Arabidopsis thaliana: one gene and its partners. The protein of the gene in region 4 interacts with the protein of the main gene of each other region in a pairwise test. Each region holds a gene or a part of one and is shown on either strand. Other genes may lie near its edges. The genes, in order: HSBP, TBP1, LCBK2 and HSF1.

Region 1 (7,480 bases), 880 kb from region 4:
TAGAAAGAGTAGAAGATAGTGCAGTTGAATTAGCAAAAATGGGAATGAATGATAAACCAGAATACGCAGGTTCTAATATAGGTGAACTTGTATCCATAGAGGAAGTTATGGTACAAGAGAAATCTTCTGACAATGTGTTAGTGTCTTTTGAGAGTAGTCTTGGTGTTATGACAGGTGAATGCAAGGAGTTTCTGGTGGAAAGTGAAGGAAACGCTGTTGATGAGGATAAAGGATTAGATGAAACTGTAAGCAGCCTTGTCGAACAAGGGGTGGGTCAAGCTAGTACCAGCAAGGAGAGCAATAACAGAACTGATGTTGGTAGTGTCTGTGATGCAGATGAATTGATAATTCCACGTGACGAGTCTATTGGATCAGAAAGCAGAGACTCAGGGGATAAAGACGCTGGAAATATGATAGGCAAGGCAGAAGAACACTGTGAAAATGATCGTGGTGCTGTTAGCGAATTAGAAAAACTTGAGTGCGCGGATGAACCTGAAATTGGTATGAGTTCTGAAAGTTTTCAGTTAACTCCAACTTCAGATTCTGAAATGATAATGAACCTTGAGGTCGCTGGAGGAATAGATGTCGTTGTAATTGGTTGTGGTTCTTCCGATCAAAAAGCTGAAGAAGAATCTGAAAATGAAGGAAATCAAGAATCAGACGATACTGATAGGAAGTTGTCACTTCCTGATGAAGATAGAGCATCAAGTTTAATAAGTTCCTTTGAAACAGCCAATGAGACTGTGGAAGATGGGAATCAATTAATAAGCAGGTCAATTTTCAGTCTGATAGCGAAGCAAACCAAATCTCAGTGGGCATAGAAGAAACCAGTTTGCTTTCGGTTAAAGACATTGAGAGGACCATGCCTGAAAACTCTTCCGTAATTGCTTATGATATAATGGAAAATGAGACGATGGCACGGCTGATTCATAATCACACTTTTATGGAGCTTGACGAGTACGAAGGAACAGGTGATACAAGTGAGAAACTCACTGGATCCAGTTTCCAGAATTCTTCAGAACTATTATCCTCTAATCATTCTGTGGAGCTGATAAGTGAGAGAGTGAAGGAAAGAGTTGAGAAGACTCAGCTCTTGAAGGAAAAGCTCCAGAGGATTATAAGAAGAACATGTCTTAGCCGTGAAAATTCAACTGTTACTAAAGTTGCGTCTAAGATGAGCCTAGCTGGTGGAGAACATCCAACGTCCTTAGGGCTTGATCACATGTTTGACGGAACAAAGATAGTGCTGCCTGAACAAGAGTTTCCAGCTGATCTAGACTTCTCCATTAACGTCCTTGTTATCGGGAAAACTGGGGTGGGAAAAAGTGCAACGGTTAATTCTATTTTTGGGGAGACTAAATCTGCTGTTGGTGCATTTGGAGTTACCACTAACTCTGCAAATTATGTTGTTGGGAATGTAGGAGGAATCCAGATAAGTATACTTGATACGCCAGGACTCTTGTCCTCTGCAACTGAGGAACAGTTTAATCAGGAAGTCCTTATGTCAATAAAGAAAAGCATGAGAAAGTTCCCAGTTGATATCACCTCTATATTGACCGTCTAGATGACACTCCAGACATCCGTTTACTTAAAATCATCACCAGTTCCCTGGGCTCGTCAATATGGAAAAATGCTATCGTGGTTCTAACTCATGCAGCTTCCGATGTTGTAGATTCTTTAAGCTACAAGGAGTTTATTTCTCAGAGATCTTCTCTTATGCATCAATCAATCAGACAAGCAGTTCCAGAGTTAAGCTGTATAGACCAGAGCAAGATGCCTAGGAATTGTTCTGGCAGAGAACAACATGAGCTTCTTCTCCGCAAACAAAAGCAGCGAATCTACATGTTCGGATTGGAGATTGAACTTGCTGATCTTATGTTGCTCAGTTAAGATCCGGTCTAAAGCCGGTTCTTTGCAAAAGCAGAATACCGATGTAGAAAAGGCCGGTGTCTTTGGCTCCCAGCTTAGCTCTTTCACTCTATTCTGTTCCTTGTGGAATGTGTTACTTAACTCAGGGCACACTTCTCATTCACATGATGATTTGGAGGAGAAGAAAAGGAAATTACTGGATTCTTACCCTGAAATTATATGGGACGAACAGAGTCAAGAATGTCTCGAGCAAGAAACACTTCTCGTGGAGAATCAAGAATCAGAAGACGTGGAGAGACAACATGAAAAAGGAACTGTACTTGGTCGTGTAAGAACCAGAAGAGGAAGACTTGGATTCCAAGCAACAAAAAGGTTCGGTATCTATCTAGATACATCTGATGTGCACGCAGGGTTTTCCATTGGAAGCCGAGACTGTAGAAGAAATGTACAAGAAGAAGGGAAGATCTTGGTGAGGATGAGAGGCTCCATGTCTGTTTTAGGTTTGGTTCCTATGTTGATATCCGTATTCACTTCTGGAAAAGATATTTAAAATTGGAATTTGCTCTTGTTGTAGAAGTTGTAACATATCAGATGTGATCGTCGTGTCTTTTGTATTCCATTGATAATACACGAAAATTAACTATATCAAATACCAATGGTGTGAGGATAAGCAACATTTCACTTGTCTCCTGATTGTCTTGTGGTCAGGTTTGTTACTTCTTCCTCTATTGGGTTGTGGAGGATTAGAATCTCTCACATGGAGATAAGATGCTTATGTATGTCTTTTGGTTGTAATCATATAATTATATAAATCATGTGTTTCATTTCTCTTGTAAAATCATGATAGTGTTCAACAACCTCGTTAATATATCTATTGATGGTAAGAAACAAATAGGCTGTTCCAAATCTACATACTTCAGTCATCAATGTGTCAGGGTTTATGCCATTAGTGAGATAAGTCGTTATACAACACAATTCGAATTGGTCTGCCTTTAATCATCAAGAGGAACAAAAAGTTAAGCCAAATTTACAAATAAGATGATTACAAATAAATGTTTGCAGATTTGAACATCCACAATAATGATTTGAATCATCCTAAGATCTAGATCTCAATACCAAACGTACATAAAAATATTTGAAATTTGAATCACACACACATGATCCCACCCAATCGAATCATAACGATAGAAACTAAAGTAAAGAGGGGGCATTTTGGACATTGTATACCTATAAGGTTGGGGTTAACAGTAACAGCGTTTCTCTTCTCGTTTTATAAACATCGCATCACTCTTCTCCTCCGTCGTCTCTCATCGCTTTTCGCTGAAATCAAAATTTCTCCAGTTTTCCGATCACTCGCAAGAAAACCCTAAAAATGGTAAATATCCGCCTCCTAATATCATTGCGCTTTTTCGATTTTGCGTTTTCGTTCACGAAACCTAGGCTCGTTTATTCGGATTTGTCGATTGCATTTAAGGATATATCTTCGGATTAGGTTTTTTTACGGTTTAGTGGGAATCTCGCATGATATTCTTATGGTTGTTCTGTTATTGTAGATCAATTATCGAAATGTTGAGTTTATAGTGAAATCTGGACGATTTAGAGCATCTTTTGCTGGGTTACAATAAGATTTTGCATTTGCTCGATTTTCTGTTTTCATCTGTGGATTTTGAACTTGTGAATTCGGCTTTTCAAGAACTCTAGTATCGTGAAGTCCAGGATCTGATGGGGAGATTCAGTATAAGTTAACTTTTTCGTCCTTTTTCTTACTTAGAAATGTTCATGTATCGAGTTTGCTGTGTGTAATGCTAGTAGTACTAAGAAAGTTCAGATAGAAATATTCTCAATGGGCAATAGTTCATGCTTGTTTCTTTCCTTGTAACAATTTTTTTTCGTTAGTATAAAGCTTCAATTTCTTGTCCTGATGATTGTTATATTTACTGTGTCTTTGAGTTTCTTCTTACAGTTTTTTTTTTCTTTTGCTGACAGGATGGTCATGATTCTGAGGATACTAAGCAGAGCACTGCTGATATGACTGCTTTTGTGAGTATTCTCGTTCTCTTTGTTTGGTATTTTTGTGACTTTGAGACAATTTCACTTGGTTTATCACTGAATCCTTGAATTTTTATATGCAGGTCCAAAATCTTCTCCAGCAGATGGTAGGTTTTTCAGCTTTTATGTCTTCGTAGGCCTTGGAATTATACCTTCAATAGGTAGATTTTGATTAAATTTGGTCACATTTGTGTGTTTCAGCAAACCAGGTTCCAGACAATGTCGGACTCCATCATCACAAAGAATATCCTTATATCAATCTGTGGTTTTACTTGAGTGTTGCTTGAAGTAGAATATATGAAATGTTTCCCTCCTAGAACCAGTAATGATGATTGATTATTTGTGTCTTCAAGGAAAGAAGTTTAGTACTAGGTATTGAGAATTATCATTAGAATCTGTCTATTTTTCTGATTAAAGTATTTCTTGAGAGTCTAAATGTCTATTCTATGGGTAGTAGCACATGGTTCTATGGTATTTTCTCTTGTTAAGTTGCTATTATATGCATGCTTGTTCTTCTGCTCGCTATATATTCTAAACAAAAGCAACTTTATCACCATGAACTGATACAAGTTTGTAATCTGTGGTAACTCTTTGATCAGCAATCTTGTGTTCATGACATTGGTTTTGATCTCCTTGACTTTGATTTTGATTTGATGGTTCACTTGATGACATGGGAGGCAGAATCAATGAGCTGGAGCAAAGCATCAATGATCTAAGAGCCGAGATGGGAGTAGAAGGCACTCCTCCTCCAGCCTCCAAATCAGGCGATGAACCCAAAACACCGGCTAGTTCCTCTTAAAAAGGAATGTGGTGTTCATTGACATGTCCGAAGGAAAAAGAAAAACTATGAAATATGTTAAGAGCAGGCAGTATTACTTTTAAAATTCCTGTTTTAAGAAACGAGTTTGTTGTTTATTAAAGTTCATCAAATAGATTGATGATGTGGTGCATTACATTATTCTCCACCTATGAATTGCATTTCTATTTTGGTCTTGAGAGAACTAAGAAGTCTTCTTATGCTCCTATAATTCATATTACTGTCGATACTTAAACGCAACTTATCAGGGGGAATAGACAAACCAAGTTCATTGTTCCATTTTTGGGTTTGATTCCGGTTTTATTTTTTCAGATTTTGAATTTAGAAAAGGTTAAAGTATAGGAGCCATAGTTAGACTGATCGATTTATCAAAATCGAATCTCATAGCTGTATTAGGCTTTGATTATTTCGCATTTGTGTTTACATGAAAAAGGTCGGTAGAAATTTTTTAACAGTCTATTTTTGCCCAATGTGAATATATTTTCAAAGAGGATATGTTTAGCCTGCGTTTACAACTAAAAACAAAAGTTGTTTAAAATGTTGAAAATTGCAAGGTTTCAAAGAAACACACTAGATAGAAAAGTAGTCACAAGACTATCATTATCGAATAAATCAATAAACAACTGGTGATGAGTTGGTTTATGCTTGTCATGAGGTATGAGTTTGCGGTCCAAAACCCCTTTTCTCCAAAACTTTGGTTTTTATTTCTCTGTGACAAAGCCCCTTGAGGACCCCGGAGGAGCAAATAAAGTGTATCTTCGAATATCAATGCTTTGTTATTTTGTTTTGACTATTTTTTCTCCAAATCAGCCTCCCTCTAATTATGGGGAGTAAATTTAGTGTCTTCCCCCTATTTTCTTTTCTCATCATCTTTACATTGTGTAACGTTTTCTTCTCTTTTGAGTTTTGACAATTTTTCTCCTCCAAGTGGCTCCATGACTCAGATTCTTTTGACATATTGCTGATAGACTTTAATGTAATTTGTATTAGTTTTAAATAAATGAATCGAATACATAAGATTATAAGAAGAAGAAAAAAACGTAATAAATACGCCACGTGTGTGTGGTTTCTGGCGAAAGTATTTGCCATGTGAAGCTGCCCCTTTAGTTGGCCCCAACCAAATACCAATTATTGCCTCTTCTCTTATTTTCCCACTTCTCCACATTTAATACTATTTCTCTTAATACACTATCTCATTATTCAACCCGATAAAATAAGGAAAATACCAAATTTGATTTCTTCCCCAATCATACAAATATTTCCCTTCATACAAAAAAAAATGAAACAACTACAATTTTAATATCCATATAAATTCCAATATGAACACCTGGTTTTTTCTTCAGCACATGCAAAAAGCACCCATACATAACATTTGATATATTAATCAGAAATGTATAATACATCTATATATATTTCTGTTCATATATCAAACTTATATTGAGACTGTATGAAACTATATTGCAATGCAAAGTATAAACATAGTAAACACCAATCAAAACAAATAATAATCTGAAAAATTGTATAAAAATCAAAACAAAAGAATTTGAGAGTAAAAATTTTAAAGTACATAGAGAAAGAGATTATCGCCTGCAACGAGTAATAGCGCTACAGCCACGAGAGTAAGGATTAGCCTGAGCTCCACGTCGGCAATTGTAGTAAGATGCGCCGCGTCGTGAGCAAGGAACTGTGTTTCTCCTCAGCGCACCGTAGCTTATATACTTCGTTGTTGCTAAAATACGCCTGTTGATCTCAGAGTCCATCTCGAACTCTTCCTCCGCCGTGGATAAGGAGCACTCGGCGATGGTACCGTTGCATTTCGACTCGATCGGTACGAAATCGCCGGAGGATTGGGAGGTTACGGCGGCGAATAAGAAGTGGACGGTGAGAATTGCGATGATTATCGCAACGGGTTTTGTGGAGAGTCCTCTCATTGTTTCTTTCTTCTTCTTTCTCTGAGGTTTTTTTTTTTGGAGGTTTCAAAAGTTTTATTGAAGAAAGAGAAAGAAATGGTTTAAAAGAGAATGAGTTATTGAAATTGCCACTAGGATTTATATTATTTACGATTTATGCCACTTGACACTAAAAGTTGTTTAACGCGCTTTTCCCACTAAAGTCTAAATTTTCGTTTTTGACTTTTTATTTTTTATTAAATTAGGATAAGAGATGAATGACAATATTATATGTGACGCATTTTACTTGAATATGCTACCAACTAAATGAAAGAAATTTTATATAAGGCTCGAATTTGAAATTAGTGGAATTGATAAATTTTGAATGAATGAAAAGAATTTTGCCCCCCAAAAAAAAAGGAATGAAAAGAAATAAGATGAATATATATATATATAAAAAAAGCTTGGTTGTTGGTTCATTGATTGATCGATTTATTAAAATTAAAAGCTTCTATGTTCTTTGAATTTGGAGAATGCAAATTATGATCAACGAATTATTCGAAATAGGTTGGTTTTGTATTCTAGACCAAACCGGTTTGTTCATTGGTTTATGGAAATTTCTGAATATCTGATTTGGGAGCTTCATTTCACAATTTCACTCTATCATGGTGTCAAGAACAGAGGAGGAAGCTCGGTTTTGAGATCTGTACACGAGTTGGTTCTGTATCAACTTGTTGACATATCAATCTGCAGCAAACCATTGTGTCATGGTGCATCATTAGAATCAACTAAACCGCGGAACTACATATTAAGCATACTAGTACAATCTCAAGGTAGTGGTAACAGTAGTGGCGAG
Region 2 (8,059 bases), on a different chromosome or scaffold from region 4:
GGACTTTTCAACAAATGCAAAAATAAGGAAAAAAAGACAAGACTTAGAAAGTCAATATGTTTTCATTGCATGCATTGACGTATACATATCAGTATCACACCAACTGTAATGAGAACGACCCTGATATATATAATCTCTGCCTAACAGTCTAACACTAGCTAATTTATAGTTTATAAGATGTTATATACATATATACCCGGGAAGAAAGAGGAAGAAAGAAAAATGAGTCTCAAGTTCATTCTTATAGCTTTGCTTCTACTTTTATGCATCACATTTTCCAATTCGACCGTCGTTCCTTTTTCCAAAAACCGGAAAATTAGTAAGTCTTCATAACTGCATAAGTGCAAATATTGTTATTATATGGTGTTAAAATGAGGTTTGTAATATAGTTTTAACGTGTAACAAGCCAATGAAGAAGAAGAAGAAGAAGGTAGAGAGATTGACATTCACAAAGGAAAGAAGATCACCGTAAAAGTCAGCCGTTCGCCTCCTGCAAAAGGCTGGATTTGTTGCAATGATTAACTAAAAGGAGCTATGTGAACATTTTCATAAGATCCCATCCTTCAATTTCTATGAAGATAATATCGACCAAGATCAAACTTCAAAGCTTGAAATTAGAAACGTGTATTTGCTATATCTCAACCACTAATTTAAGGGGCTTTCGGCCCATTACACGCATGGGAAGATTCAATTATGTTGATTTTGTAAGTTTTGGGGCTAAAGTGTAAATTATTGAAACTTGTAGGCTTGATTTCATTATTCCAAGTTTCCACTTTTTCTCCTCCGCCGTAGCCGGTGCTTCTTCTTCGTGAAAATCTTTCGTCTGAGATTTTTTCTTTACTAGTTGAATAAAATTGAAGATTTCGAAGACTACCCAAAACCGCGTTTTACAAAAAGCCAGATTCTTTTTTTTTTTTTTTTTTTTTATAATTTCATTAAAACTACCCAATGGGCTTGGGCCGAAACTTACAAACAATTCGGTCCAGTTACAAAATTAGGGTTTTCTGACACATCGCCAGGAAAAAGAAAAAAGCTCGCCGCCTGTTGACCGTCGCTAGCAGAGCGACCAAAACCTAGATCCGGCGGACTCAAGTCCCACAGCTTTGTGGCCGCCTCCGAGAATCGTCCACCACCGACGAAAGATTCCGGTTTTCGTCTGTAGAGACTCAACTCCAACGCACCAACCCACCACAAGACTCCCGGAAAGCTAGCCGCTCCGACGTAGCGGTTCCACGGAACCGGATCCCGACCTAGCAACCCGAAACACTCAGCGATAACACTTCTCTCCCATCACCGGAAAATAGCAAAGACCCAGAGCCAAACACACGTCGATCCGGACCGGTGGAGACCAAAAACGGCAGACCTAAAGACTGGTGGCTCAGTCAGACTCTCTAGATCCAAAACCCGCTGCAGCCATCTAAGATCCAAACAGATCTACTGTTAACCACCGCATCAGACAACGAACCCCCCCTTACCCCTCTCCAACTTCCGCCGTGGACGCAGCGACTAGAATCACGGGTGAGCCTGAGAACCTCGCAGCAACCCTCAGCGTCCATAACCAAGAGACCCCCGCCGCAACCTTCTCGACCGACAAAACCAGAGCCAAATCCACATCAGAGAGAGAGCTCCACACCACACGTTGACGGAGACAAGCATCGGCTCACTCCTGGACTTCCTTGAAGAGGCTTCAAACCGACGATGAAGAGCAGATCGGAACAAAAAGAAAAAGGAAACTAAATCTACTTACCGGAAATTGTCTTCAAGAGAGAGAGAAGGGCACGACTTTCAAGGCTACGATTGAGCCTCCATCTCATAAAGCCAGATTCTTTATCTTCCATAATCGTATTAAAGCTACGAAAACCTCGATTTCGTGTTCAAAACTTGGATTTGCTCGCTATCGAAAGGTCTGACCTTTAATCCTTTTCATGGGTTTAATCGTTCAGATATGATTTCTCGTATCGGTATTATAGCTTAGAGGAAAAGTGTCGTAGTTTTGGCAGATGAAATTAAAATTGGCTCTGTATTCCCAAATAGTTGAAACCCATTTGATGAAGCTATCTTATCAGACTTTTACGCATAAGTTTTCTTGTGGTCTTGGATCGTGTCTAGTGGCAATTATCTTCTCTGAGTTCTTTTGCTTAGTTTGATTGTCTGTTGTTTTAGACGAATGGCTGACCAAGGATTAGAAGAGAGTAATCCAATGGACCTTAGCAAACATCCTTCAGGGATTGTTCCTACTCCTCAGTGAGTTCTTTTGTGCCTTTGTCTTTATTTTAGTCTCTTAAGAGTTAGTGTTTGTTTGATGTCTATGGTGAACTTTAGACTGCAAGCTTGTTTATATTTGAAATATGGAATACACCTTCTCAAAGTTAAAACCTTCTAACTTGTAATGGTGTGGTTTTTGTTTGTTTGTTTAGTAGTCAAGTCATTTACAAGATGCCACCAAGAATTGCTGCTATCCGTCTTGTAAGCTCGCATCGTGAGGTCTATGAACCATGTGATGATTCATTTGCGCTAGTTGATGCATTACTCGCTGATCGCACCAACCTTATAGAGCACAACCCTAAGATTTGTATGGAGATTGGATGCGGAAGCGGATATGTCATAACTTCACTTATACTTCTTCTTCAAAACGAAGTTCCTGGTGTTCATTATCTCGCCATTGACACTAACCCGATAGCTACAAGAGTGACAAAAGAAACTCTAGAAGCACATGGAGTTAATGCTGATGTTATCTGCGCAGATTTAGCTACTGGTCTAGAGAAGAGACTTGCTGGCTCAGTCGACGTGATTGTGGTGAATCCGCCTTATGTGCCAACACCTGAATATGAAGTTGGAATGGAAGGTATTGCCTCTGCTTGGGCAGGAGGGGAAAATGGCCGGACAGTCATCGATAAAATCTTGCCTGTGGTTGATCTTTTGCTATCAGAGAAAGGATGGTTCTACTTAGTGACATTAACTTCAAATTTCCCAGCAGAGATTTGTCTGATGATGAGAAAGAAAGGTTATGCTTCGAGAATCGTAGTTCAGAGATCAACAGAAGAGGAGAATCTCGTTATCCTAAAGTTCTGGAGAGACAAGGATGAGGAGAGCCAGGACAAAGAGACATCATCATCATCGTTTGTTTCGCAGTTTTCGAAATCCTTATCTTCGCTTATGGAGAAACAATGGCGCTGATACTACAAAGATGGCTAGAGATCTCATAAGCATGCTTTGTTTAACCAAGAATTCTCTAGTGTTTTAATTTTTATGAAAATCATGTTTTGTGTTGGTGGTGTAGTCGTAACAGTGATTTGATTTAGTGGGGTTATTGGTTAGTGGATTTTAACTGATGTGAAATTTTGATTTTCAATTCCACATTATGTGATTTGAAAAAATCAATGAAAAATTATAAATTTCTACTTGAAAAAAAATGTTCACTAAATCGCTAAATATGCAAAAATATAATAGCGTTATAACACTAAAGCTGACGTGGCCGAAAAGGAGTGGACTTTCACATAAAACCGAAAGACAGCCGTCATCGTAGCATTACCGCATAAATTTCCAAAATTACCCTCGATGTAACAAGGACGGTCAAGGGTAGCATGGGTATGTATATATAGGTATAAAGGGGCTTAAGGATCCCAAATCCGAAACGCAAGTCGATGACCTCCTCTCTCTCACAGATCTAAAAACCAGAAGCGAGAGAAACAAATTCACTCTCCCCTTATATAAGCACCGATTTATAAATCTTTTTCCCTCTTCGATTCTCAATTCTTTGTATAAAAGGCTTCTCCTTTTCTCAATTCTTCGGCTTCCTTTCGCCCAAACTCTTCCCTCGAATCTTTCCTTCTCGTCTTAAAGCTACGAAACCCTAGATTTCGGATTTCTTCGCTATCCAAAGGTCTGACCTTTAATCCTTTTCCTGAGTTTTTTCGATTAGATCTTATGAGTTTCATCACCTTAAGAGGATAAGTCTCGTTGTTTTGGAAGATGAAATCTAAAATTGGCTCTGTATTCTCAAATAATTGAAACCCTTTTGAATGATAAGTCTATCTGATAAGACTTTTAAGCATATTGTCTTGGATCGTGTCTAGTGTCTATTATATTTTCTGGCTATTGCTTATTTTGATTGTGTTGATTTTGGTTTTGTGTAACTATAGAAGAATGACTGATCAAGGATTGGAAGGGAGTAATCCAGTTGATCTTAGCAAGCATCCTTCAGGGATTGTTCCTACTCTTCAGTGAGTTCTTTTGTGCCTTCGTATTTGTTTTTTGTCTCTTGGGATTAAGTGTTTGTTTGACCCCTGTTGACATCTTTGATGTTTTGTTTCAGAAACATTGTCTCCACGGTGAACTTAGACTGCAAGCTAGATCTTAAAGCCATAGCTTTGCAGGCTCGGAATGCTGAATATAATCCCAAGGTATTTGCATTATATTGTGACTTTTTGTTTTAATAAACGGTAGAAAAGTTGTTTGGAAGAGTACTCTCTCCTTGAGTTGACCTTATTGTTACCTGAGATCTGATTGGTCTATATACTGTGTACTGATTAATTAGAATCTAAGATATTATCTGTTTTTGGCTTTTGCTAAACTAATTTGCCTTAGCTAAGCTCGTCTTATGTAATACCTCTTGTGTTTTATGTTTCCAGCGTTTTGCTGCGGTGATAATGAGGATCAGAGAACCGAAGACTACAGCATTAATATTCGCCTCAGGGAAAATGGTATAGTTATTTTGGTTGGCAATACTTTTTCATAATTCTGAAATTTAATTACATTGGTTTGAATTCTCTTCTGAATTTGGCGACTAATCTCCAATTAGGTCTGTACTGGAGCTAAGAGCGAGGACTTTTCGAAGATGGCTGCTAGAAAGGTAGATTTTTTTTATCTTTAACCTCTTTAATTTAACTTTCTTATAGATCTGTTCTTCTTTACTTTAGCAATAATTGCAGTATGCTATTTGCTCCTCATTTGTTTATGCTAATAGGAGATGTTTTATTGTTTAGTATGCTAGGATTGTGCAGAAATTGGGATTCCCTGCAAAATTCAAGGTACAATTTCTTTAAACCTTTTCCCTATCCAACATTTTTTTTCTTACTTTTGCTTATACTAAATATATTCAATTGTTACATCCTGCAGGATTTCAAGATTCAGAATATTGTAGGTTCTTGTGATGTCAAATTCCCTATAAGACTTGAAGGTCTTGCTTACTCTCACGCTGCTTTCTCAAGTGTGAGTGATCTTAACTTATACATTTAGTAGTCAAGGACCGACTTTTAGAGATAAAAACGTTGTGCTGATGGCCATTACCTCTCTCTCATATTGGCGTGTGGTTAGTATGAGCCCGAGCTCTTCCCAGGGCTGATTTATAGGATGAAAGTCCCAAAAATCGTCCTTCTAATCTTTGTCTCTGGGAAGATCGTAATAACAGGAGCCAAGGTAATATCTCACTTCTCTTTAGGTTTTGTGATAATACTTGTTATGTCTCTCTCTAGTCTCTAGCTCTTCTGTCACCTGAAAAAATCCTGAGATCACTCATTATCAGATGAGAGATGAGACCTACAAAGCCTTTGAGAATATATACCCCGTGCTCTCGGAATTCAGAAAGATACAGCAATAGTATGTAACACACCCGTCAACTTTCCTCATCTTTCTTAGTAATGTTTGATTTCTCGATTTATTCGTGCATGAACCTAATTGTTGTGTTTATCTTTTATAGGGTCACGGATTTGTTCCCTGCAAAACTAGTTGTGCGGTCTTAGCCCCTTGGAGTTGCTAAAGCTTGCTGAGAATTTTGCCCTTGAACAAAGGCTTTCACAGTAGCTAGACTCTCACCTTGTGTTTTGGTTCATAATATAACATTGTATATACACAATGGAGATTCTAAAGACAATTCTTCGGTTCTATTTTTTTTCTTTTTCTTTCCAAGATATGTCTTACATGTATGTTGCTGTAGTGTCCTCACATTTCCACTTATGTTACAAGTAGAACCTTAACTCAGTGTGTAGCCCTAAAGTCTTGTTTATCATAGAGATTGGCCAAGATTGTGAACAAAGATGGAGAGTTTCAAGATCATAGATTAAATAACAAAAGTGGTGATTACAGTATCCATTACATGTCTGAACCACCAGCATCAATAATTATTTCGAAGATAGGAGACAGAGAATCATGTGTACAATGCTAAGATGGGCTAGTAATTCACAGTGGATCTGATTGCATCCAATATCTGCATCAAATTGTGAGCCAGGGAAGAATTAGCAACAAAAACGAAAATATATGTATAAGATACAGACCAGAAACAAAACTTGCCTTGTTCTTGGTTGGCATGTAGAAAGGTTCGAACACTAGAGGGAAAGGAGTGTCCAGGCCACAAACTCTGCTTACAGGTGCTTCTAACTGCAAAAGTAACCAGACATGTAAGCAAATATGAAAACCAGACATTGTTACCAAAAATTATAATGCTGTAGACAAATATGACTTGTTTTTACCCTCAAGAAGCAACGCTCAACTATAGTTGCAGCGATCTCGGCCCCAAAGCCTCCTGTAACAGGAGCTTCATGGCTAATCTGCAACCGAAGTAAGCAAACACATTTATTCTCTGAGACTTAGGACAATGATACTCACTCAGAGAAGCTTAACTTACAAGAAGTCTGCCAGTCTTTCTCACTGAGGTCTCAACGATTTCCTTATCCCAAGGGATCAGAGTCTTGAGATCTATCAATTCACACGATATTCCTTCCTGCAAAAACATTTTGTTTCATCATCTGTATCGCCAAAGACTAATTAAGTGCAAAACATAAAAACTAACGTTTTCTGCGTCAAGACATGCTTGTTCCATGATAGTGAGCTGTGCTCCCCATCCAACAAGAGTTATGTCGGAACCTTCTCGCATAACCTGTGACAAAAAGTTTTCATTTATTAGTCTTAGAAGTGTACTAAAAGAAGAGACACTAGAAATGGAACCTATATACCTCTGCCTCAGATAAAGGTATCATATAGTCATCTTCAGGGACATCCTCTACCGCTTGACGATATAGCCACTGAAGAAGAAGAACAAAGGATCAAAGACTCTTTTACAGGTTCTTGAAGTTGAAAATAACTCAAGAAGTAGTACCTTTGGTTCGAAAAAGACAACGGGATTCGGATCACGGATGGATGACAATAATAATCCCTTAGCTTCCCGTGGACTTCGAGGAATAACAACCTACCCAAAACATGCAATTTTCATATACACCTAAGAATATGAAGCAAATAGAGAAAGAAGAAGCTTTAGTAAGAAGATGTACTTTGATACCAGGGACATGACAAAAGAAAGCTTCAGGGGACTGCGAGTGGTAATGTCCACCGTGACCAACTGCTCCGTACGGTGCCCTAATAGTGAGTCCTACAATTGTCACATAAACCCCAATGAGTAAAAACTTGGTGTCTCATAACCAAGAAGGCACAAGAAGATATGAGTTTACCTCCACAGTTAAACTGGTTTCCACTTCGGTATCTGAACTTTGCAGCCTCATTAACAATCTACGAAATCACAAAACTCCATAAAGAGAACTCATGCGTCATCATAACTTGGTTTAAAGGTAAAGGTAGCATTTTTACCTGATCAAAAGCCGGGAAAATATAATCCGCAAACTGAATTTCCGCAATAACTCGATTTCCCTGCAAGCGAATAAGTAACCAGTAAGATGATGTGATAGCAATGAGAGGTAAACAGAAGAAACAAAAGAAGAGAAGAAGTGACCATTGCAGCTAAACCAATGCCAAAGCCAACAATGCCTTGCTCGCAGAGAGGAGTGTTGAAAACTCGAGATTTCCCAAAACGTTCAGCTAATCCTGTTGTACATCGGAAGACACCACCAAATCCAACATCTTCCCCAAAAACATAAGACCTTCACTCAAGTGACTCCAAATACATTATAAAAACCAATTCAAATGTACCTTAGACTTTAGGATTGAAAAATGCGAGAAAAGCTCACCGAGGATCGGTCTCTAAAGCGATGTGAAGAGCTTGATTAATAGCAGAGTATAGATTCATCGATTTACCACTTTCAGATACATTTTCAACCGTCGATAGCATCCT
Region 3 (7,989 bases), on a different chromosome or scaffold from region 4:
TAAACGTTGTACTGAACATAGCGGCCACCGTGTGTCGGTACAACTTTGATGCAATGTTCGGTAGAACCAGAGCTTGATTCTCCAGACATGATGATGCAATGATCAGACCGAGAACGAGAGAAACCAAGAAGAAGGGCTTTTGTTGAAGTTGAAGGATCTCCTAAAGTATCTCTTGAAGACACTAAATCCATGTGAAGAGAGAAGCTTTTTTCAACTGTAAAAGATCTCTCAAGGGACCCGTGAATCTAAAGATCATGAAAGATTACATACGTGTATGGTAACAAGAAGCAGAGTCACTCGATATTAGCTCAATATTGCATTTTTCATTTGTTACTACTAATTGCACTTAACTATAGATCAAAGCCTCTGATTTGTTCCTTTGATTGAAACAGGTTTAGAAAGATTGGATCACTACAAAGAGAGCAGTGATTTTTTCAAGCCAAACAGATGTATTCTATATTTATATTTTATTGCAGAATTGATTTCATACAGTCACACATACAAGACCAACACACCTAAACGGAAGAGACAAGCTCGACAGATGGACTCAAAACAAAGAAAAAAGAGAAAACACTATTTATAGAACCTAAAGCTGCCTTTTGTAAGGGTTAAACTTGTTTGTTTACCTCACTATTTTAGTCTACATCTTCTCCAACTGCATTGCCAGAGATTGAGTCACTTGACCTAAGATTACAGAGCAACACATCGCGCCCTCTCAAAGTCAGTTTAAAGAAACTATCAACTTCCTCCAGTAACTGATCCAACCCTTGAGACAATTTCTCAGCTTGTGTCCCCAATTCCATAACATTATCTTTGAAGAATTCAACTTCGACAGGATCAACGCCATCTTGGATCATCGGGTATAGCTTCTCGACACTAGCATCAACGCTCTCCAGCTCTTTGAGAATCGTGGTTCTACCGGAAGACAACATGTCTCTGATCTCAGCATTTACAACACTCTGCATATCAGTAAAGACCTTTGCCCATAATGGTTTTTCAGAGACAGGTAAATCGAAAAGATCCTTGGTGGAATCAGACCAGGCTGCGGTAAATACACTGCAGATATAAACTGTTTGAACCTTCACACCATAAAAAGCTCGCATCAGAACCTTTCCTTTAGGCGAGTTCTTGACTTTAGGCAGACTCAGAGATTTAACAAGACTGTCTAGAACCGCACGGCAGTTTTCAATTCTAGGGTTGTTTGTATTAACATGTTGCCTCCAGCTATCAAGCGAAGATCGAGCCTGGAGATACTTCTCCCCAGAATCCGATTGTAAATTGTGCAGAACACACTTGAGGAAGAGATCTCCCTGGTTGAGACGTGTGAGCTCAGAGCTAAAGGCATTACAGAGATCTAGTAACCTAACGCTTATGTTGAGGTAAACATCAACCCATTTCTCTTCCCAATCAGAGACAGGAAGCTGGAGATCAGTAATGAGAGTGTTAATGTTCTTATGAGTCTCGCAGAGTGACTCCATAGCTAGCTTCATCCAGGATAAAGTGAGGATGTCATCTTTGTTCTTAGGCATAAGTTTCTTCAGTCTCTCTTCCAAACGTAGCTCAAAGCCGTTCAATAGAGAAAGTAGCCATGGCGATAAATCTGATCCCTTTGATGATAACATCCGAAAGGGATTTCCAAATGGGAAGAAACCTCGGGGTGGATCTTGTGGTCGGCTCATTTTGCTAGACACCTGAAAATGAAAAGAGAAATATTGTTAGAATAATGATAATGATTAATCATACAAACCGATTTGCTGTGAACTCAATGTATCTTCTGTGTTGTTGCCACACATAGAAGGACTAATCGAGGAACAATACAATCCCAAGTCCCAACCTTAAGAGTCCCAAAAAGCTGACAACTTTTGAGATCTTGAAAAAAAAGAAGTTACCACCTTTATTGAAATGATGTAAAATCAAAATTTGAAGATGAAAACAAACACATAATCAATTGTTCTAAGCCATAATCTACACTTGAAGATGTCCAGAACCAAGGAATTAGGATAAAAGTTTCAATCTTTCCAAAATTAGAAGAACCCTAGGAGTTAATTATCTACACGGAAGTTTTGAACACAGAAGTTCGGTACAAACTCTTCATCGAACAGTAAAATCTATCTTAGAACTAAACACACAAACTTCGATTTACAGAAGAACACACACAATAAAAGGAGAATTATAGATAACAAAAAAAAACTCAATTTCCACGAAACTTACCGTTTTAAGTCGCCGGAAATGAAGAAATCACAGGGAAAATCGTGTGGAAATGATTCTTCTAATGCTTCATTGAATTTTCTGAGTCGATCGGCTGAGAAAAATGTCTGGCGGAGGTCGAGTTTGATAAAGCTACGGCCCGTCACATAAAAACTAGTTACAACCTTACAAGTATACCATTAGTGAATGGCTGTTACGTTTTAATTGGTCACAGCCTTGTGTGTAGTTAAATTCTTAGCGGAAAGTGGACGGCTATAAAATAATTAAAAGTTTTATCGAAGGGCCAAAAATGAGACGATTTCGTGGGATTATAAAATAAGTCATTGGTCGATTGGCGTAGTCTTTGTTTATTTTAATTATTATAACCAAATCTAACGGCTAACTAATACATACCACGTCCTACAGACTCCTGTTATTACTTTTAAAAATAAAAACTGAGAAGATTTAATCGAAAATTAATTTTGACGATTCATTATTATTTTTGGTAGTACTTTGCTTTTTAAAAAATTGTAAAATCCTCATCAAAAAAATTTCAGCAACTGTGAATATTTTTTAAAAGGCATAACAACTTTATTTGTTTTACGTAACGAATTCCTTGGATTTGCGTAAAACATGGGCCTCAAAGCCCAAATGACAGCTGTCAAGGAACAAATCGGTCGACAAAAGTATGGACCCCACTTTTAATTTACATCCGGACAAAGACTAAAGAGCTGTCTTTATCTCAATCGTTTTTCTTGTTTCTTTAAGCCCATTAGGTATAGCTACCTCAATTTATGGGCCATCAGGTCCAAAGGGCATTTTTCCCAAAAGATTCCTAATCGAATTACGTCGATATTGAATACCTTATTGACTTTGAGACAACTCCACCATTGTGCTAGATAAAATAGGCCTTTTTAAAACTTTGAAGATAAAAAACGGCCCATAAACGTTGTGAAAAAGCCTCTCGCTGAAACAGAAGGTCTCTGTAAGTGTCTAATCGCGCGATGAACTTGATAACGGCGATGACCGGAGCTAAATTGCGGCCATACAATGCTACGATCCACTTGCTGCACTCCACTTTGCCCTTTCACGGCGAAACAACCTTCTTTCCTTAGGAAACAGCAACGTATTACCTCTGATCGCTTCACCTTTCGCGGTGGTGGTGGTGGCGATGCCGCCGCCGTCGTCTCCTCCTCCGGCCTCCGTGATCTCGTTTTCGTCGTAAACCCTCAAGGTGTGTTTGCCCTTTTACTCACTGGATGAAAAAAAACTGAGATTCGAAATTCATTGGATTTAAAAATGATGTTTTTAATATGAGAATCAATCTCGATGTGGAATTGAGGTTTAGTATTATCGTCTCTTGATTCTTTTCAATGTCTTTTATATGAGTCTAGGTGCTAATGGTAGAACAGCTAAAGAATGGAAGAAGTTGCTTCCTCACCTTCGATCTCGTCTTGGTAAAGACTGTAATGTGAGTTTTTGATTCACTTGCCTTTTTGTGCCCCTGTGTTAGTGATGCCATCTCCTTTCGCTTTCTTCAGTTCCTTCAACTGAGTTTACGTGTCTTCTTGTTTGTTTCTCCAGGTAAGTGAATTATTAACATCGGGTCCTTCTCATGCCATTGACATTACAAGAGAGGTAAGGAGTAGTGAAAGTAATATACTACTTTGCTGGGTACAGTATTCTCTGTCTTGTCGATTTGGTTTTATGATGATCCTCTGTTGCTTCTAATTATCCTCTCAGGCTATAAGGGATGGTGCAGATGCTGTCATTGCGGTTGGAGGTGATGGAACACTTCATGAGGTAGGAATTGCCATTTTTGGTTGCTAGAACTGCGCTCTGGAGATTCTTAGCTCCACTCATTCTGTCCTTTTTTTTTTTATCTACAGGTTGTTAATGGTTTCTTTTGGGAGGGGAAACCTGTCGGTTATCTCAGTGGGGAAGCTAGTCGATCGACTGCACTTGGTGTGAGTAGCTTGAGTTGACTTTTTGACTTGTTTTTGTGTATATCTCTTGTGGAGTTACAACATACAATCTTAGTCCATCCTTTTTATTTTGCAGCTGATTCCCTTAGGTACTGGCTCAGATTTTGCTAGAACATTTGGTTGGTTAGTTTTTGCAACTTCTGTTTGTTGTGTTTTTTTGAAACTTATGTTGAGCCATATGTTAAGTGTATCCTGCATTCTTTAGGAACAATGATCCTTGTGAAGCAGTGGAGCGCATTGCTAGAGGTATGTCACTGAATTCATTTGAGGAGTTAGGACTTAGTTACTACTGAACTGTCTATCTATGTCTCATATATCACATAACCAGCATTTTCTCAGGGATGCGATCACGGATTGATGTTGGTGTTATCGACAAGGAAGGAAAGGATTTGCATTACTTCATCAATGTAGCTGATGTTCATTTGTAAGCATATCGTGGAAATTTTCATCTGTGATTGATCCCTAATGATGCAAGGTTGTAAATCTGTCCTTTTGTTGCTCATTACTTGCAGGAGCGCAAAGGCAGGATTTTACGCTTCAAAATACAAGAAATTTGGAAACTTGTGCTACGTAATTGGTGCCCTACAAGCGTTCATGGGCCATCATAACCAAGATATGAGAATCAGAGTAAGCAAATTTTTTTCTGCGAAATCCCTTCTGCACCGTAGCAAGTAACTTAAAAGCATTCTGTTATTTTCTCAGGTCAATGGAGGCGAATGGGAAATATATCCCCAGGTCACTGCTCTCTGCGTTGGAAACGCAAAATACTTTGGTGGTGGAATGAAAATCACACCCAACGCCATCCCTGGAAATGGAAATCTTGAGGTGCAACTATTCGTTTTCTTCAATCTCAAATCCTATGTTGGGAATATGGTAGCTCTTGAGTCTTGACTTCTTCCCTGTAGGTTGTGGTTCTTCAAAACTTCAAATGGTATGATTTCGTACTTAAACTTCATAAGCTGTACAACGGGACTCATCTTTCGGTTAACAATGTGACTTCAAGAAGGTAATATTTTTCTTTGGCTTCTTCTCATTTTGTCCTTTAAACGACCTTAGCACTAGAAAAGTCACCACCTTTATGCTACCTCTCTTGTAGTGTACAAAGCATCGAAGTTGAAGAGATTACAGACAGTGGAAGTATCTATGTGCAGTCAGATGGAGAACATCTTGGATTCCTACCTAGAAAGTTTCAGGTGTTACCCGGTGCCATAGACATAATCAGCTGATCAAAACCGCAGATTTCTTAGGATAAACTTGTCAAGTAAAGTGTAGAATACTTCAACTTTATATTCTTCCTGTAATATGATTCATTGTTTAGCGAATCAGATTTATGCTCGTGTTACTTGTGTAACTCGTTACTATCACTATTTATTGTGTGGTCTCTGTTAACCACAAATAGATACTTTAAAACATTTTAAAGCAAAAAGTCGCATCTCCTAAATCAATCAATCACACAAAATTGAATCCTAAAAATGGTAGCTTCTCTTTCCTTTCATTCCATCGCCACCGTTAATCCAATCTTCTCCGGCGATGGTGGTCGTTCAATCTTCCGGACTAATCGCCGATTCGAAGCAACTGGAGTGAGTTGCCGAGGACAGAATCCTACTGACGAGCCACAGACAAGTAAAGGACCCGAGCCGGATAATGTTCTACTCAAAATCGCTTGGTACGGATCTGAGCTACTCGGAATAGCTGCTTCTGTTTTCCGATCTCCGGAGACTTCTCCGATTGTGACAGGCTTTGAGGTTCCTGTTGATTGTTCTGGTCGAGCCGTTCGTGTAGCTGTCGTGGACTCGATTAAACAAGACTTTAAACGATCCTACTTCGTCACAGGTCAGTGTAAAATCATCCAATCTGAATTCTGTTTCTTTTGTCTAAATCGAAATCTCTGAGTTTTCAGGTAATTTGACGCCGGAGGTTTATGAGGAGAAGTGTGAATTCGCTGATCCGGCTGGATCCTTCAAGGGTCTTGCTCGTTTCAAAAGGAATTGCACTAATTTCGGAAGCCTTATCGAGAAATCCAATATGAAGCTCATGAAATGGGAGAATTTTGAGGTACGGTCAACTACTAAAAGATGTCGGAGTAAAAGTTTCGTTTTTTGTTTCTCACCAGAGCTCCATCATGAGTTTTGCAGGATAAAGGAATTGGACATTGGAAATTTAGCTGTGTCATGTCGTTTCCATGGAAACCCATTCTTTCAGGTATTTATTTTATCAAGGAAACCTTAAAAGTTTTCAGATTTTTGTAGCCTTTTTAGGATAAAGTTTGCAACTTTAATAGCTTCAATGATTAGTAATGAAGACAAAAAGAACAAAACTTTTACTATGTCTTTTTATGGAAATCTGTTTTTACAGCAACTGGTTACACGGAGTATTATTTCGACACAGAATCCGGGAAAATTTGCAGGTAAAAAGATTACTTATGAGCTCATTAATATAAACCCCACTAATCTCTTTTCAACTTTGAAATCTTTTGTGAAGAAGAAGAAGCTGGTTAAACATATTTTGATGAATGTTGGCTTGCAGGCACGTGGAGCATTGGAATGTCCCTAAGATTGCTCTGTTCAAACAACTTCTGAGACCCAGCCGTGGTTTAGTGGGGACACAAAACTAGCGCAGATGAAGAATGATGTCAATTTCAAATTAGATTTTTTTAACCGTAAATATATGAAACTTGCTTCTGAAACTAATATGGGATACTCTGCTCTTAGAGATCTGTAATGAATCTATTCAAGATGACACATATAAACATACTATCACTGTCGCATTAAAACAAAGGTCCATTCTTCTCGGTTGGACAAGCAACAGAGAAACCATGCTTGAACCTCTTCAACCTTGCACCGTCTCAAGTTTTAACCGTACTCTATGAATTTGCATTCTCTTGAAAAAAATGATAATTCTCTAGTGTCTTAAGTACAATTGACAATATATCTCAAGCTTTTGGATACAATTGTCACTTTGAAGGCTCCATGTTCTCAGCTGCTAAAGCTGCTGCAGAAGCAGCCTTGTCAAAACCAAGCTTCTGCAACTCGGTTAAGAACCCATCGAGCTCACTTGCTGTGATCTTGTAAGGACTGTGAGAAGGACCTGGAAACACTTTTTTAGAGACTTCTTCTTTGTATTCCATTAGGGCTTTGTTAATCACTTCTCCGACATTAGCGTACTGCTTGCAAAACTTTGGAGTAACCTGTGAAATATAAGAGCATGAAACAAGAAGCATGTTGATAACGAACGAACGAACAAGAGAATGCGTTTCGAAAACAATAATTGTGTCAGGATTTTACCTTGGCATGATGTGGATGTTGCATCATACCAAGAAGATCATGGTAAACTAGCACCTGCATTTCCAAGAAAACAATTAACAGGTATGAGAAATGCAAATTTGTCTCTTGGCTACACACAAAACCGGAAAGAACGAAACTTTTCAAATAAAACCTGTCCACTGCAGAAAGGTCCAGCCCCAATGCCAATGGTTGGTATCTTGAGGGCAGAAGTTGCAGCAGCAGCTACAGGAGGTGGAACGCATTCCAAAACAACCGAAAAACATCCAGCTTCTTGTAAAGCCATTGCAGTCTCAACAACTTTAACAGCACTAGCTATGTTTCTGCCTTGGGGTCTGAAACCACCAAGAACGCTAATCGCCTGAGGGGTTAGACCCACATGACCAATAACCGCAATTCCTGCTTCAACTATAGCTTTTGCAGCAGTGATCCTAGAAGCTGATCCTCCTTCGAGCTTAATCGCATCCATTCCTCCTTCCTTCAAAACCCTAACCGCAGTATCAACCGCCTGAAGCCAACATTTAAACCCAAAATCA
Region 4 (7,240 bases):
GTACATCGGTACATATACATACACAAATGAGACATTGTACGTTTAGTATACAGAAATGATTAGCATATCATTCGATAAATTCCCACCGTTTATATGTGTGGGTGTGTGTGCGCGACATAGACATATAAGTATATTATATAAGCAGCATTGATGTATGTTTGTATCATGATTAGGTCCACAAAAGTGTCAATACCATCATTAATGTCAATATAAATGGTAACACGTCCCCACCATATAATGCCTACAAATCTACATTAGGTGCACATACATAACAATTTGCGTATATGTGTGAGTTCTTGTCGATTCATTTAATTATTCTTCTATAAACTATTTCCAATAGATGGTAGTGATATATGATATCATGTCAACATTATTGGTAATTTTCTTTACAAAAAATGATTAAAGAAAACACACAAACTGCTAACTTTAGTATAAAATCATCACCCAAACTCTTCTTTAACAAACGTAATCATTTTCTTAAGAAGATTAGAAACACTAATCATACGATTTACTTTTTCTTTTTGTCAACATAATCATATGATTTTCTAAAATTATATTTTGAAGACTTTTTTTTGGTGTTTGGCCTCGAGTCATTTATATTTCTTTCTCTTTTGAGTGTGATTTAATAATCATGAGAAAAAAGTCCAACCAACTTTGAAATAGTGAGAAAGCTACTTGGACGTCTGTTTTAACTCCACGTGTCAAGCTTAGAACATTTAAAGGTTTTGCTTACAATTTTTATTTATTTGATCCAACCAACACCAACCCATCTCAGATATTTTCGCCAATCATAATCAGAGATCAAATTATAACGGTGAAGCTATTTTTAACTTGTATATTAAATAGTAAAATATACATGTTACACATCCGGATCCGTGGCGCAATGGTAGCGCGTCTGACTCCAGATCAGAAGGTTGCGTGTTCGATTCACGTCGGGTTCAATCCCCCGAACTATACACCCGGTTTCTTTTTTCGGTATGACATACCTATGTCTCCACTGCACGACGTCGTTCAGCGATATAACACTAAACGACGAGACATCTGAGCTAATTTAGTGAAACCACACGCAGTTTTTCTTTGCAAGCCTTAAACTTTTTCTTTCTTTCTTTCTGATACTGATACTGATAGTATTGAGAGACTGACTAAAAAGAAGAACTAGAATTACAAAGATAAAGTAACTGAAGGAGAAAATCTATTAATCAGCAGGCTCTTCAGGCTTCACAAAGAACTCTATATAAGCAATCCGACTCGGTGGCTGATACCCTGCGGATTCCACTTGTGGAGCTAAAGCTTTAGAAACTGAAACCAAGTGCTGAACTTTCAACATTCCTCCTCTTCCTATTGTTAGTTTGCTTCCCCTGTTTTCTCTCACTACGTTTCCCGGTATGTTTGCCGTTGTTGCTTTCAAAAACTTGTATTTGTACCTACAATCAACAATGAGAAGTTTAGCAAATGTATCTGGCTACTATTCTTGATTGGTAAATCAAGCGTAGGAGCGTGTGTTTTAACCATAAAGCTACGGTAGAGAAAGAATTGAGTTCATTGTTACCCGTAAGAGACTTCGGTATCACAATGAAAGGCAAGGAGAAGATCTGTGTTGGCATAATACATGAAGTCTATCTGCAAAGAGGATAGATCGAAATATGTTCCTTGATTCTTTCACATTAAGATAATATACATCACCAAGAAACAAGTGAGAAACAAGACCTGCAAGTCTCCATGTCCTTCTCCTCTAAAGATTACACAAGGGGGTTCCTTTTGAAGACTGATCTGTACACTTGAACCAGGCCATTCAAGATCATCTATTGCTTCCTTCAACGCCGCTGACTGATAGATACATTATCAATTACCATTTGAGAAAAAGCTCAGACTAACAATGTTAAACGAAAAACGATACTAAACTATGTTACTACCTTTACTGTAAAAGTAAGTGGCGCGATTCCCGCCTGCTCAAAGTTGTAGTCCCAAGTAACAGTTTCGGGAATTCTAGTTCTTATCTCAGAGTAGATGCAAGAGTTTAAGGTATCAACAGATCTAATCAAACACTCACACCAATCAGCTAATTACTCGTAATCCGTATATTCACAAAGCAAAGGATCATAGTACACATACTTGAGAAGAAGCTCCATATCAGGTCCTGGATACTTGATTTCTATAGTATTAGAATGTCCAGGTGATGAAAATGTGTTCAAGCAATCAACAAGAAGCCCTAAGCTGATTCCGAATCTCGGCCTACCTTGAGCTCCATACTCGTATTTCGTGAATAGCTACTCATATAACACATCAAACAGATTTCGGATTCAATCGAATTTTAGGGGTTTAGAAAATTTAAGATAAACTCAGAAATCGATACCTCGCGTTGAAGATAAACTTTGGCTTGAAGACAACCTGATTCTTCAACAATCAAAACTATTCCGTGTTCAGATAATTCTACTAAAGCATCCTGGAAACGGAGAAGTTTTCAGAAAATCAAAGAAGAACCCTAGATTGAATTTGGGGAGGATGGAGATAAAAACCTGGTGGCGTTTCCATCGGACGCAAGTGAGTGCATCGACCATTCCTTGAACATTATCGAGCTGGCAAATCAGGTCCGGTGTGTCTGGTTCAATCGCCGGCGACGAGGACGAACTCATTTCTCTCTCTCTCTCTCACTCTCCTTCCTCTGCTTTCCCGCCAGAAAATGTATGCCGACAATATAGCAATTAAATTGATTATTATTATATTTGTTTTAGCAGGCCCAGTTATTAATAAAGTTGATCTTTTTGGCCCACACACAAACTAAAAAGAAAAATAAAAGCCCATCTTTATGATATCGCGTTTATATCTGAGTCACAGAGAAATAAAAGGGTATGTTTGTAAATTTCAAATACTTCTCTTTCTTTATCCGTACGAAAATGGACGGTGTTACCGGCGGAGGAACGAATATCGGCGAGGCTGTGACGGCGCCACCACCGCGGAATCCGCATCCAGCGACTTTACTTAATGCGAACTCTTTACCGCCCCCTTTCCTTAGCAAGACGTATGACATGGTGGAAGATCCGGCGACGGACGCGATTGTCTCATGGAGTCCGACGAACAATAGCTTCATTGTTTGGGATCCACCGGAGTTTTCTCGTGATCTTCTACCTAAATACTTCAAACACAACAATTTCTCCAGCTTTGTTCGCCAGTTAAACACCTATGTAAGTATAAATTCTCTCGCGCCCTAATTTCTCCACCATTGATTTCTCTAATTGTACTGTGTATAGATTATGATTTCGTTGAATAATCTTAGTGCTTGATGTGTTTGATAAGATTTATATGATTCATGTGCCAATTTTGATGAACAGGGTTTTAGGAAAGTGGATCCAGATCGATGGGAATTTGCTAATGAAGGTTTCTTAAGAGGTCAAAAACATCTATTGAAGAAGATAAGCCGGAGAAAATCTGTTCAGGGACATGGTAGTAGTAGTAGTAATCCACAATCTCAGCAATTATCTCAGGGTCAAGGTTCAATGGCTGCATTATCTTCATGTGTTGAGGTTGGGAAATTTGGGTTAGAGGAAGAAGTTGAACAGCTTAAAAGAGACAAAAACGTGTTGATGCAGGAACTCGTTAAGTTACGCCAGCAGCAACAAACAACAGATAATAAACTTCAGGTTTTGGTTAAACATCTTCAGGTTATGGAGCAGAGGCAACAACAGATTATGTCTTTCCTTGCTAAAGCTGTACAGAATCCTACTTTCCTCTCTCAGTTTATACAGAAGCAGACTGATAGTAATATGCATGTAACCGAGGCCAATAAGAAGCGGAGACTCAGAGAGGATAGTACTGCTGCTACTGAGAGTAATAGTCATAGCCATAGCTTGGAAGCATCAGATGGACAGATAGTTAAGTATCAGCCACTTAGAAACGATTCAATGATGTGGAACATGATGAAAACAGATGATAAGTATCCGTTTCTTGACGGGTTCTCATCTCCAAACCAGGTATCAGGAGTCACTCTTCAAGAGGTACTACCCATAACTTCAGGACAGTCACAGGCATATGCATCTGTACCATCAGGACAGCCTTTATCATACTTACCCTCTACTTCAACTTCTCTCCCGGATACCATAATGCCAGAGACTTCCCAGATACCACAATTGACACGAGAGAGTATCAACGACTTCCCTACAGAAAACTTCATGGATACAGAGAAGAATGTTCCAGAGGCATTCATCTCTCCAAGCCCATTCCTTGATGGTGGTTCAGTCCCGATTCAGCTTGAGGGAATACCCGAAGACCCCGAGATTGATGAACTAATGAGTAACTTTGAATTCCTTGAAGAATATATGCCAGAAAGCCCAGTTTTTGGAGATGCAACTACACTAGAGAACAACAACAACAACAACAACAACAACAACAACAACAACAACAACAACAACAACAACAACACAAATGGTAGACATATGGATAAGCTTATAGAAGAATTGGGTCTTCTCACATCAGAAACAGAACACTAGTAAAGGATTATGTTTAGTATCCATTGTAAAGTCTTTCTCTACTAACATTATCGTTAGGACTCAGTAGTACGGTTGCAACTTTGTGCAGAAATCTTTCCTTGGATAATAGAAGAGTTGTATTTATTATTAAAAAGAAAATGCCATTTTTTCTAATTTATTGTAGAAAGTGACTACTTTGTCCAATCATATTTGTAGTCCTTTTTCGATAAGAAAAACAGAGTTGGAATTTTCCCGGGGAAGCTCTTTTCAATGGAGGTCCTTGCGAGCTCTTCATTATCCCCAATTTCTTTTACTAAGCCTAACAAAATAAACCCTAATTTCTCAATCCAGGTACTTTTCTTTCGTATAGTTGACTCCTTTTTAAGTTTCTCTCCTGCAATTCCCCAATTTGTGTCCGTTTAGCTGTGTAATAGAATTTTCAACCTTTGCAGGTGAAATTGTGGGTAAAACAACCTCCAAAGATTTCAAAAGCTAGCAAATTTAGTTATGCTCGTAGTCGTAGTAACATTTCAAGGAGCAATGCAGCAAACCCAGGAGTCGTGTTCGTCTGTAATAGATTTCTGTGTGTTATCGAAAGAAATGATCAGAGGAAATTATCTGGGAAGGTTATGATGAAATCTTCTGTTAATTTCAGACAGAATCTCTCTGTTGCATTAGTTCGGATCGTTTCTGTTCTGCTTGTCTCTTCCATTTCTGTTGTTACCACTGATTCACCACCATCATGTAAGTTCTGTTTTTTTTACATGTTGAGAAACCATATAAATTTCGGGGAATGCAATTTGATTTCATTTGTGTGGCTTTTTTTCTCTGTCTCTTTAGGGGGTCTTACTGAAGAGAATCTTCTCTTCCTCGAGGCTTGGAGAACAATTGATCGTGCTTATATTGATAAAACCTTTAATGGACAAAGCTGGTTTCGTTACAGAGAGACTGCTTTACGAAATGAGCCTATGAACACTCGAGAAGAGACATGTATGTGTGAATAGCTTTATTAACCTTTTACAAAATTAGTACAACTTGCTTCTAAATTTGGTGTTGGTTTGTGTTTAGACATGGCTATCAAGAAAATGGTGGCAACACTAGATGATCCTTTTACTCGATTCTTGGAGCCCGGAAAGTTCAAGAGTTTGCGGGTAAGATTTCCTGAAAATATACAGTTCTGAATTTAGCAAATAGACTGTATGTAAGATCTAGTAATTAAATGGTTTGGTTGAAGGCAGTCGGGGACTCAAGGGGCGGTTACGGGTGTTGGGCTGTCGATAGGTTACCCCACTGCATCAGATGGACCACCAGCTGGGCTTGTTGTTATATCAGCTGCTCCAGGAGGTCCTGCAAATAGGGCGGGGATATTACCTGGCGATGTTATTCAAGGAATTGATAATACAACCACAGAAACTCTTACCATATACGATGCTGCACAGATGTTGCAGTGAGTTACATTTCCATTTTTCATCATTCCTTAACTTTGAAAAATCTAAGTGTGACGAGTTAATGGTTCTGAAGTAAGAAATGATGATAATGCTTTGGTTGAAATGCAGGGGACCTGAAGGAAGTGCAGTGGAGCTAGCGATTCGCAGTGGACCTGAAACGAGACTCTTAACTTTGACGTATTTCTCTCATGCCTACATTTATCTTCGTTGTCACGTTCATTTGGTAACTACAATTGTTGTTATTTCAGGCGAGAGCGGGTTTCTGTGAATCCAGTGAAGTCAAGATTATGTGAACTTCCTGGTTCTGGGAGTAACTCCCCTAAGATTGGCTATATCAAGCTAACAACATTCAATCAAAATGCTTCTAGTATGTATTCTTTGGCATTACTGATTCCTTCTTACAAATTTATCTACTCTCTAGTTTATTATCTCTCAAAGTCTTAACACTTTTTTTGTAGGTGCGGTAAGGGAAGCTATTGAAACCTTGAGAGGCAACAATGTAAACGCATTCGTCTTGGACCTTCGAGACAATAGGTGATGATTTTTTGAGAACATAAACTCTTTTTTGCTTTTGCAACAGCCTTTCTTAAAAAAATTGTTCTTGCTGCAGTGGAGGTTCTTTCCCAGAAGGAATTGAGATTGCTAAATTTTGGTAATAACCTCATAAACCGTTACATATAACGAATTAGAAAATTTCAAGATCCACAGCTATCATAATAGAAACTTCAACATTTGCTATCCACAGGTTAGATAAAGGAGTGATTGTGTATATTTGCGATAGTCGAGGTGTTAGAGATATATATGATACTGATGGAAGCAATGCTATAGCAACCTCTGAGCCTCTTGCCGTTCTTGTATGAGCTTCCATCCTTCCTTTCCTCAAATCTAGTCCTTATTGTAATCTGTAAATGCCATGAAAGATTTCATTCTCACACAATCTTTCTCTTTTCCAGGTTAACAAAGGCACCGCGAGTGCCAGCGAGATATTAGCAGGTGCCTTGAAAGATAATAAACGTGCTCTGGTTTATGGAGAACCAACTTACGGAAAAGGGTAAACAAAATGGCGCTATTTTTTATTCTTCTTCTCAGAGACCGAACCGTAAAATTCCTGAGACTTTAACGCATTTTGCAGCAAGATACAGTCGGTTTTTGAGCTTTCTGATGGTTCGGGCTTGGCAGTAACAGTTGCTCGATATGAAACACCAGCTCACACAGATATAGACAAAGTATGAAACTACTTTCTTCCTGTAGTAACCCCCTCTGTGTCTACACTACACTACATACAAACATGTTCTTACAGTCTTGACTCGTTGCTGGTTGTTGTATAGG

What was found.
Region 1: the proteins of HSF1 (region 4) and HSBP interact in a two-hybrid assay, tested with the Arabidopsis thaliana proteins (one study listed by BioGRID).
Region 2: the proteins of HSF1 (region 4) and TBP1 interact in binary tests that used the Arabidopsis thaliana proteins (3 or more experiments, as listed by UniProt).
Region 3: the proteins of HSF1 (region 4) and LCBK2 interact in a two-hybrid assay, tested with the Arabidopsis thaliana proteins (one study listed by BioGRID).

Annotation. Positions count from the first base shown.
Region 1 is NC_003075.7:8,984,101-8,991,580, reverse strand, and holds HSBP (heat shock factor binding protein), read left to right. Parts: upstream 1-2,919; 5' UTR 2,920-3,241; coding exon 3,242-3,244; intron 3,245-3,855; coding exon 3,856-3,909; intron 3,910-4,001; coding exon 4,002-4,025; intron 4,026-4,119; coding exon 4,120-4,162; intron 4,163-4,580; coding exon 4,581-4,717; 3' UTR 4,718-4,983; downstream 4,984-7,480. Other genes in the region: AT4G15810 (P-loop containing nucleoside triphosphate hydrolases superfamily protein), read left to right, coding at 1-772, 859-1,503, 1,768-2,419; RALFL33 (ralf-like 33), read right to left, coding at 6,316-6,666. UniProt on the Arabidopsis thaliana protein: Negative regulator of the heat shock (HS) response. Affects negatively HSFA1B DNA-binding capacity in vitro. Involved in acquired thermotolerance but not basal thermotolerance. Crucial for seed development, after fertilization and during embryogenesis.
Region 2 is NC_003074.8:4,376,171-4,384,229, forward strand, and holds TBP1 (TATA binding protein 1), read left to right. Parts: upstream 1-3,622; 5' UTR 3,623-3,883; intron 3,884-4,142; 5' UTR 4,143-4,146; coding exon 4,147-4,223; intron 4,224-4,315; coding exon 4,316-4,403; intron 4,404-4,631; coding exon 4,632-4,703; intron 4,704-4,801; coding exon 4,802-4,852; intron 4,853-4,985; coding exon 4,986-5,030; intron 5,031-5,118; coding exon 5,119-5,211; intron 5,212-5,316; coding exon 5,317-5,418; coding exon of another isoform or gene 5,419-5,481; exon of another isoform or gene 5,482-5,524; coding exon 5,525-5,598; intron 5,599-5,698; coding exon 5,699-5,699; 3' UTR 5,700-6,054; downstream 6,055-8,059. Other genes in the region: AT3G13437 (uncharacterized protein), read left to right, coding at 178-319, 407-522; AT3G13440 (S-adenosyl-L-methionine-dependent methyltransferases superfamily protein), read left to right, coding at 2,168-2,244, 2,418-3,177; DIN4 (Transketolase family protein), read right to left, coding at 6,170-6,205, 6,289-6,375, 6,468-6,545, 6,623-6,718, 6,788-6,874, 6,951-7,019, 7,094-7,183, 7,266-7,363 and 4 more. UniProt on the Arabidopsis thaliana protein: General transcription factor that functions at the core of the DNA-binding multiprotein factor TFIID.
Region 3 is NC_003071.7:18,947,682-18,955,670, forward strand, and holds LCBK2 (Diacylglycerol kinase family protein), read left to right. Parts: upstream 1-3,120; 5' UTR 3,121-3,237; coding exon 3,238-3,421; intron 3,422-3,581; coding exon 3,582-3,658; intron 3,659-3,771; coding exon 3,772-3,825; intron 3,826-3,930; coding exon 3,931-3,990; intron 3,991-4,076; coding exon 4,077-4,154; intron 4,155-4,248; coding exon 4,249-4,295; intron 4,296-4,377; coding exon 4,378-4,418; intron 4,419-4,511; coding exon 4,512-4,596; intron 4,597-4,684; coding exon 4,685-4,799; intron 4,800-4,874; coding exon 4,875-4,997; intron 4,998-5,077; coding exon 5,078-5,178; intron 5,179-5,268; coding exon 5,269-5,398; 3' UTR 5,399-5,594; downstream 5,595-7,989. Other genes in the region: MPK12 (mitogen-activated protein kinase 12), read right to left, coding at 1-191; BPS2 (BPS1-like protein), read right to left, coding at 636-1,679; AT2G46100 (Nuclear transport factor 2 (NTF2) family protein), read left to right, coding at 5,645-6,005, 6,073-6,227, 6,308-6,374, 6,528-6,579, 6,699-6,786; KPHMT1 (ketopantoate hydroxymethyltransferase 1), read right to left, coding at 7,126-7,359, 7,457-7,510, 7,608-7,961.
Region 4 is NC_003075.7:9,867,213-9,874,452, reverse strand, and holds HSF1 (heat shock factor 1), read left to right. Parts: upstream 1-2,806; 5' UTR 2,807-2,849; coding exon 2,850-3,182; intron 3,183-3,329; coding exon 3,330-4,484; 3' UTR 4,485-4,635; downstream 4,636-7,240. Other genes in the region: AT4G17760 (PCNA domain-containing protein), read right to left, coding at 1,196-1,424, 1,550-1,620, 1,708-1,827, 1,914-2,034, 2,113-2,267, 2,354-2,443, 2,517-2,633; AT4G17740 (Peptidase S41 family protein), read left to right, coding at 4,734-4,814, 4,916-5,207, 5,304-5,453, 5,532-5,614, 5,702-5,910, 6,020-6,088, 6,160-6,278, 6,370-6,445 and 5 more. UniProt on the Arabidopsis thaliana protein: Transcriptional activator that specifically binds DNA sequence 5'-AGAAnnTTCT-3' known as heat shock promoter elements (HSE).